Nothobranchius furzeri: one gene and its partner. The protein of the gene in region 2 binds, or shares a complex with, the protein of the main gene of each other region. Links are inferred from orthologs where the notes say so. Each region holds a gene or a part of one and is shown on either strand. Other genes may lie near its edges.

Region 1 (3,820 bases), on a different chromosome or scaffold from region 2:
TGCAACATTGATGGTTTATCTCCACAAATAACACAAGCCTGGAGGAGTTGTGCTGCGTGATGGAGTTGCTAATGGTAAAGGTTAGCTTCTACTCTCTTCTGGGCACTAGACCAACAACAGCATTCCCTGCCACAAGCCAAGATGGGTGAGTTCACGAACGCTAATTTTAAATGTGACTTAGATCTATCAGGCGTTACTAATCCCAATGTTTCCACGTCTATTTTCTTTCAGCATCTAATTTAGTTCCTGTACGTTAAACTGAGAGTTACTGATCATATTTAAAAAACGACAAATAAAAAATCGGTTTCTCAGGGAACTTGCTCTTTAAAATAAATTTATGTTTTATAATTGTAAACTTTGATTAATGAATTTAGAAAACACTTGAACATATTTCTGAATATAATTGGTCACTGTGAGCTTTCCATGCAGGCTGAACATGAAAATAGTCTCCTACTCCTGTCTCCTGCATTAGCTTCCGATAGAAAATAGACGGTGAAACTCTAGGATTAGAAAAACCTGACAGATCTACATCACACGGTCACTTAACAATCATGGACTCACCCATCTTGACTCATGACGGGGGAGGCTGTTGGTTTAACAGCCAGGAAACAGCAGAGGACATCTCAACTAGCAGACGCTAACCATTAGCATTAGCATCTCAAACACACAGCAGAACTTCTCCAGGCTTGTATTATTTGTAGAGATCAACATTGGAGGGCAAACAGTCAGTGGTAGAGTTGCTGTTATCCAATCCAGGGCGAGATGTCCAAATATCAGGAAATAAGACTCCAAATCCTGCCGTCTGAAGCTCAGCTGTGGGTAACTGAGGTCCTAGAAATGGTGCACCAGTATAATTGTTTCTTCAAAGTATGACTTACAAGCCATTCGCTCCTAGCAGAGACCACTGCGAATGTATTATTTAAACGAGTAATCCACCGCTGTAAAATAATTTTTAAGTATTGTCACTATTTTTGACATACTAAAACCACTTCTTTGTCCAATGTCTCAAATCTATGAATCTGATTACATTTAATGTTTCTCTAGTTTTTATAAACCTCTGGATTTTTTTTTTACTTTTTCTGATCTCAGTTTTGAGTTAAAAACCTTGCCTCCGTCTACTGAAGCCTGTTTTGTTGTTATTTTTACTGTGAACTACGCCCAGCAGCATTAGAGGAGAAACTAGACTTGTCAGATTCATCCTGTAACTGTTATTAGCCCTGACACCATCAGTAAATAGGTGACTCAGGTTTATTGGCAGCCAGTTCCATCCCTCCACTTGAACTGGGTTGGACTGGTTAAGTGTTTTGAAAAATTAGCCCTCCTCTCCTTTCTTCCGATTGTTTTTCCCCCAAATAATTTGAGTTTTGTGCAGCAAAATGTGGAAGCTGTTTGTGCCGTCACTGCAGCATGTACGTGAGGCGTAACGTCAAAGATAGCGTCTGTATTTACGCCTCACCTTTTGATTTGCTCCTCTATTTGCCGGACCAGCAAGGACTCTCCAGCTGCTCGTGGCTCTGGCTCCTGACAGCTGTCGCCGGGCGGAGGCCCGTTCGTCTCCGGGCTGCTCCGACCCAGCAGGGAGCGCACACGTTTGGAGCGCATGTCCAAGATGGTATCTGAGTAGCCGACCTCCTCCAGATATCTGCAACCACAGACGGAAAATCAATAATAAAACACAAGCATAATATAGCATCAGTGGATTTGAAATTATCAGGCAAACTCACTTGCGTAGTAACTGACGTCCCTCCTTCCAGGACATCTGATTGGCTGGCTCAGAGTCTGTCTCAGCTGGTCCATTGAGAACTACAGAAAACACGTTCAACAAGCCATGAGTAGGAAAAAAAACACGTTCGGCTCTAAAAGATGCAGCATTCGTAGACAAGAACAAGTGAAAAACATACGCTGCTCTGCCTCCATCTCTGGCTTCTTTTCTCCAGGACTCTGGTCATTTCCTGTCTTCAGTTTCTGGTGCTTTGCCCTGGAGACACAAAACAAATCCCATCGGGAAAATTACCCGACAACAAGCCAATCCAAGGCTTTATTTACTAAACACAGCACCTGGAGAATGTACACAACTGTTAGATGGGGCCAAAACAGCCGACATCAGCTTTGTCCTATACATGTCCTATTTTATCAGAGGCTGCAGGAATAATGTGATGAGAACAAACCTTTCCTGTTTGAGGGCATACTCCAGCATTTTGATCCGCCTCACCAGGTCCTGTTTCATGTTCTCCTGCCCTTTCCGTTCACTCTGTAGGAATGCCACCTGAGCCTGTATGTAACGCACACACACACACACACACACACACACACACACACACACACACACACGGTTATGAATACACTTAATCCTTATTTTAAAAAGGAAATTGTGCAGATCCTACCACATGGGCTCATATAGGCCAACTAAAACCCAATACTTTAGACAACATTTTCATTTTTTATCCCTTTTGTTGCAAACGCCACAAAGAAGTGAAGAGTGACCGTAAAGACTATGTAGGTATTTCTGATTTACTTCTCTACAAATGCCATGATAAAAATATTAGTTCTTCATTTGCCGTTACAAAGGTCAAACAGCTTATTAAAACGTCTAGCTTCACAGATTTCCACTGGGAATGTTCTTTTTTTGGAATCTGATCAGTGGGGATTCAAGTTTGGAAAGCGTCCCACTCATCTCTGCAACCTTTAAATTACTCCACAATTTCCTTTTTGGACTCAAGTCTGGACAGGATTTCTTGACTATATTTAATATAATTTGGATGTTTTATATTTTGATAATGACCTTGGTACATTCAAGTGTTCCTCTGCTTCAAAAGGCCTGATTCAAATGAAAATGAATGGATTGGGTAGCCATTATGGGCAGACCAATATATCGACCAGTCGATATATCGGTCTGATATTTACTGATTTTAATACAACAGCTGATATTTGTCCTTAGTAAAGCTGATTTAAAGTCAGGCACATCTTTGGACAACCCAGTGCTGTTGCAGCATTTAATTTAAATGTATTTTTATGCTCACTAGTAACATGTGCATGATGAATACTCTAAATTACCATTATTAACAATGAGCTGTGCACAACGTTAAGATTTAACAGCTGGTTAAATTCAGAGTTCAAAAAGCACATCGGCTGACCATGCCTCCAACATATCGGCATTGGTATCAGCAATAGAGAAACCGTATCGGTCGACCTGGTTCTGAGATGATTCCTCAAAATAAACATAAATTTAAATGTGACTTTTACACTTAAGGTTCCGGAGTTTTCCCTTTTCAGAAGTTATATATGATTTTTCAGAAATCCGTAAGTGATCGTCTTATCATGTACTGTGATGTAATGTAAGCAATACGTCTTTGTTGATAAGAACGCCCTCTGCCCCGCAGAGCTCCGTGAAATAGGAACCTGAGCGCCGACCAGAACTAACCAATAGCGTACTGCTTACGTGCTTCAAATTTAAGGAAGTACCTCGGCTGATGCAGAGTTGATGAACTTTTCACCAACAAGTGTTTAAGATATATGAAAGCACAACACGATATGAGTATAATACTTGTAATGCGTGTTTTAGCTCTGTTTGTCGGCTACAGAAGCACATTCAGAAACAAGAAACATGAAGTCGCCATCTTAAAAAAATGGATCGAGTGACTATTTGTGTGATATGCTTGTCAGCCACCAGATGGTGCCATCAGATAAGAGAAACACTACCGGAGAGATACTTTAATTGTTAAATAGAGATAAAAACAGTAGCTAAAAAGGATAAAAATATGGTTGACTAGAATTTTTGTTTTATGGCTCATTAGCAACGTTCCCCTGCATTAATCTGGGC
Region 2 (4,534 bases):
TAGCTTCTACATCTGAACTGAACTTCAACACGACTGTAGGTCCATATCTACCCAGCTCTGCTCTGAAGGTTTCCCTGATGATTTTCCACTCAGGCTTGTCGGCCGGGTCGTTCTGTTGAATCGTCTCCACCATCAGGTACATGATGTTAAGCAGCACCCGGAGATCGGTGCTGTCGGCGAGGGAGATGGCCGGTTTTCTGACTGCACTACTACAGGCGGCACTGTTACTGAGGAGTAGAGTGCATCAGTGATATAACAGAAAATACATAGACTGAAAACTCTGCGAAACAACAACTTTTACAGCAATTAATGTGCAACAACCATTCATGAACTGAACATAAAACATACTCGATCTCCATGTTAAGTAGTTCCACCAGAGCAGAGAAGGTCCCAACATCAAGTAGCAGAAATATGTTATATCTCATCCAGTGCTGCACCTCAACCTCAGAGCTGCATTCTCCAAAGGTTCCTGCATAAAACAGAGATTTATCAAAGGTTAGAAACATAAAGCAGATCTTTACCTTGTAATTAAGTTGATTTTATTCAAAGTGAGGGAACACTGACCCTGAGCCATGTACAGAATAGCTCTAGCAACCTTCAGTCTCTTCTCACGAGTGATGACCTCCAGACTGTCCAGGAGACGCAAGGCATGAGCCCTGTGCTGAGCTGCATCCAGCTCCGTCCACTTCTTATCAAACACTGAAGCACAGCAAGGAAACAGCTAAATAAACATTTTATATTTTATAAGCATCTTATCGGTAATTAGGGCCACCTACCATGAGCTCTGAATTCTTCCTCAAAGCACTTCCTGTTAAGAACAAATTCTGGTCCTTCAGTGTAACTGTAAAGTTCTGAAAATGGTACAAAATAAAATTTAATTAATGGTCTAGTTAAGAACAAGTCAAACTTATTCTGAATCTAGATTTCTGATTCTGAGAAGCATATGCATCCAAACCTGACAGCTCTGCAGCCCACTTGTCTGTGTCAGAATATTCAAACTCGAGATCCGGCAACTCAGACATTCCCTGCACACATGAGATCAGATATCAGACAAAAATAATAGTAATTTCTTGCCTACAGTTTTGAAGAAGTATCACTAATTAGAATTTTAATTAAGAAATCATTTTATATATCCCAGATGTAAATTAAGTGTTGTAGTAACCCTGACTAAAGTATGATTTATTGTGAAACATAAGGATGTCAGAGTTAGATAAAAGGGATTTTTGACACCAAACACACTGCACACAATCCTAGCTCCATACTGCAGCAACACAACACTGCACACAAGATGTGTCCAGCCCCGAGTGATAACACCTGCTACACAAAAACACATAAAAATGAGAAAAGAGGCTGACATCTGATCTCCAAACTAACCAGAACCCAATCCCATTGTTAATTGAAGGATGAGTCACAACAACCACAACAAATATGATTTAGTGTTTACGTACAAGCATCAAACCAAGTGGATCAGTGGACAACTCTGGTCCTCTGAGGGCACTACCCAGCATGTTTTAGTCATTTCCCTGTTCCAACACACTTAATTCAATGGTTGAATAACCTGTTCAGCAGGTCATCAAGCTTATGTAGAGGTCTTTTAATCACCTGCTGATTAAAATGAAATGTATTAATGCAGGGAAACAACTAAAACATGCTAAAGAGCGGCCCTCGAGGTCCAGGACTGCCCACCCCTGCATGCTCTCTGGTCTTTCCTATTAATTTTCTCTCTCTCTTTCCGTACTTTTTGTTTTTGTGAAGTGCCTCGTGATTTTTATCTTGAGAGGCGCTATATAAAATATCGTTTTCTTTCTAATACTGATGGTGGAGCTCCTGCATATCCACTACAACCATGGTGAGTAAATTTGGTTTCATTTGGACAAACTGCAGTATTAAAAGACCAATTCTAGCACCAAAATAGAGACAAATCAAGTATTTTTTAATTTCTAGTTGTACTTGATTCAGTTTGTTTATTGGGTCAAATCAACTCCTGGAGCAGATTCTGGAAATTGCTGCTATGCATCATGATGCAGACACGCACTGTGACTAGGAAGAACCCTATGTTAGCTTATTCACGTAACTGTTTTTAAAGCACTGTTGCTGCAACTAAATGGATCATAAAGCACGAGTGGACCCGACTCACATTTTTTCAACAGGTAGACAGAATTCTGACAGGCAGTCCTGTTAGCTAGCATCAGCTAGCTACTCTAAGCGAAGCTAGAGCTAAACCAACAGCAACATTTCAGAGGACAAAAAGATCACAAAGATATACACACACATTTAAAACATTTTGAGTCAGTTACTGCAGATAGCAGCAGCCGAGTTGTTAAAGACATGCTAGTTAAGAGACACTCACAAAGCTAACGTTACAATAGCAGAAACGAGGCCTCGTCTTGATTACAGAACCCCCTGGCGAAATAAAAATTAACTTTTCTGTTAACGCACCTCTGAGTCTTTTCTTGAATTCCGAGGAAATTCTCCCCTGCCTTTATTGGGCAGCATAGCTCTTTGTTTATTGTTTACAGGTGGACCACCACCATTCCCACCGACATCCATCATTAGCAATTGGACGAACTCTCGCGAGATGAAAATTGAGCGAGAGTTTGTTTCTGACGCGTACGTGGACCTTCCTCTCGGTTCTTCTGTTGCATCTTTTTGACGAATTTGTATTAAATCTGTCATTCATGTTCAACTTTATATTATTTTTATAAGATCAATCCCACCCTTGCTTTAAGATCAGATTTTATTGTTTATAATTTTTAAGGTTTTGACGATCGGCGGTCAAATTCATACAAACATCAGATACCTTTATATTTACTCAACAAAAAACTCTATATTTTCTTTCAATGCCCCCACTGTACATCTATCATGTAAATGCGCACAAGGACAACAGCTCTGTTTTGCAATTTCATGTGTTTATTGAAGGAAAATTTGGACAGAAAAACAAACATTGAAAATTTTTTAGTTGTTCAATAAGTAGAAATGGTGATGGACAACACTACAGCAAATATTCATTGTTCATATGGTGTAACCAATTCCTCCTGTACTCCATTGGGAGCTGGTGTCCACCTTCAGCAGACTGTGCGAGGTGGGCAGCCTGCTGGTCTCCAGTCCATCACAAGAACACTAAAGTATTACTTTACATTATCCAGTCTCAGATGTTGCAATGGTCTGTTGGTAAAATCCCAATGAGAAACGATTCTATTGTCCCAAAGTCATTGCAGTTGTAGTGTCATGAATGTCCTGTTTTTGACCAAAAGGTCATGATCTGCTGCGTCTGCTCGAGCAGAGACTTGTCTCTGACACAGGCTAATCTACATGAGATAGTGGCCAAGGTATTTCATGCACTCTGCTCATTGAACTGCTTCACCTCTGTTACAGCTCAAGACGAAGACGAAGAACTCTTGATAAACACATAATCAACCAACTTAGTTATTACCAATAATAATGTGAGCCCAATGTTCAATCAATCTGTGAAATGACAATGTTATTACTTGATATTATAATCCTGTGATCAGTAGTATTTTACAAGTAATTATAATCTTGGGCATTTCCACTAGACACTAATGACATGTAACGCTAAAGCCACATGACACATTTCCTTTTGTCTGATCCAATCAGAACCTTCGTTTCTGACGCGAGGCATTGTTTTCTGTGGTGTTTGTTTAAACCCTCTTTTGCATGTCAAATTCTGATTCGCCAGTAAACCAAAATATGACAATTATAAAAACTATCCCACGCCACCTTTTGTTTGGTTTAAAGCGTTCTAGAGAAGTCTCGGACAGGCCATCCGGACTTCCCCTTCAGCCATAAAGAACCTCGACAAGCTGGATAAAATCTATTATAAGTTACACCTGTCTGCAACGGTTCCTTCAGAATAAAAGCTGAACCTCACGACCCCTTCAGGGTCTCGCTGACGCCAGTGATAACCTGTCGTGACCTGGAAGCATTCCGAGACTAGTTTGGTCGGCAACGCTGCTTTTCTACCGGCTTCGGTACCAAGAAGGGTCCAAGAGGACCTCAGCATTCTGGATCTAACGGAGGCTTCCCCTGGGTATGTAGACCGACAGATGGCATTTCATGTGTGTTACAAATCTACTGAAGTTTAGAGCGAAACATTCACTCCCACTCAAAACTGCTTCTCCGGATACGCTGGTTCTGATAACATTCCACACACACACCATCATCGCACGTTTCACTCCACCTTAGTCCATCAGTACACAGAGTGTTAAAGTTAGTCTTGTTTAAATCGTGTAGAAATAAATTTCTTAACCATTTTAAACCTGACTCTCTCTCTTTCCTCCGAGTTATAAGAAGTGTCAAGTAATCCCTGCAATAAAAAGTTCTGATCGTCTGGTTAAAATATTCAAAGATCCATCAGATTGATATTTCATATTTCTATGGAATCTCACATTTTATGGTTCAGAAGTAAGATGTAAACGACCCATCCTTTACACAGTTTATTTGGTCAAAGATTGTCAACAGGAACGTTTTAAACAGCTGAACGTAAAAATACAGAATACTAGTTGGTTTCTGCAAC

The links.
Region 1: strip1 (region 2) and strn4 share a complex: the UniProt entries of both Homo sapiens proteins name them as parts of the core of STRIPAK complex. The link is inferred for Nothobranchius furzeri from reciprocal best matches to the Homo sapiens genes STRIP1 and STRN4.

Annotation. Positions count from the first base shown.
Region 1 is NC_091753.1:40,954,496-40,958,315, forward strand, and holds part of strn4 (striatin-4), read right to left. Parts: intron 2,273-3,820; coding exon 2,169-2,272; intron 1,979-2,168; coding exon 1,902-1,978; intron 1,804-1,901; coding exon 1,725-1,803; intron 1,643-1,724; coding exon 1,457-1,642; intron 1-1,456. UniProt on the Homo sapiens protein: Calmodulin-binding scaffolding protein which is the center of the striatin-interacting phosphatase and kinase (STRIPAK) complexes.
Region 2 is NC_091743.1:46,737,740-46,742,273, reverse strand, and holds the start of strip1 (striatin-interacting protein 1 homolog), read right to left. Parts: upstream 2,877-4,534; 5' UTR 2,677-2,876; coding exon 2,440-2,676; intron 1,026-2,439; coding exon 956-1,025; intron 852-955; coding exon 777-851; intron 700-776; coding exon 565-699; intron 470-564; coding exon 349-469; intron 228-348; coding exon 52-227; intron 1-51. UniProt on the Homo sapiens protein: Plays a role in the regulation of cell morphology and cytoskeletal organization. Required in the cortical actin filament dynamics and cell shape. Part of the striatin-interacting phosphatase and kinase (STRIPAK) complexes.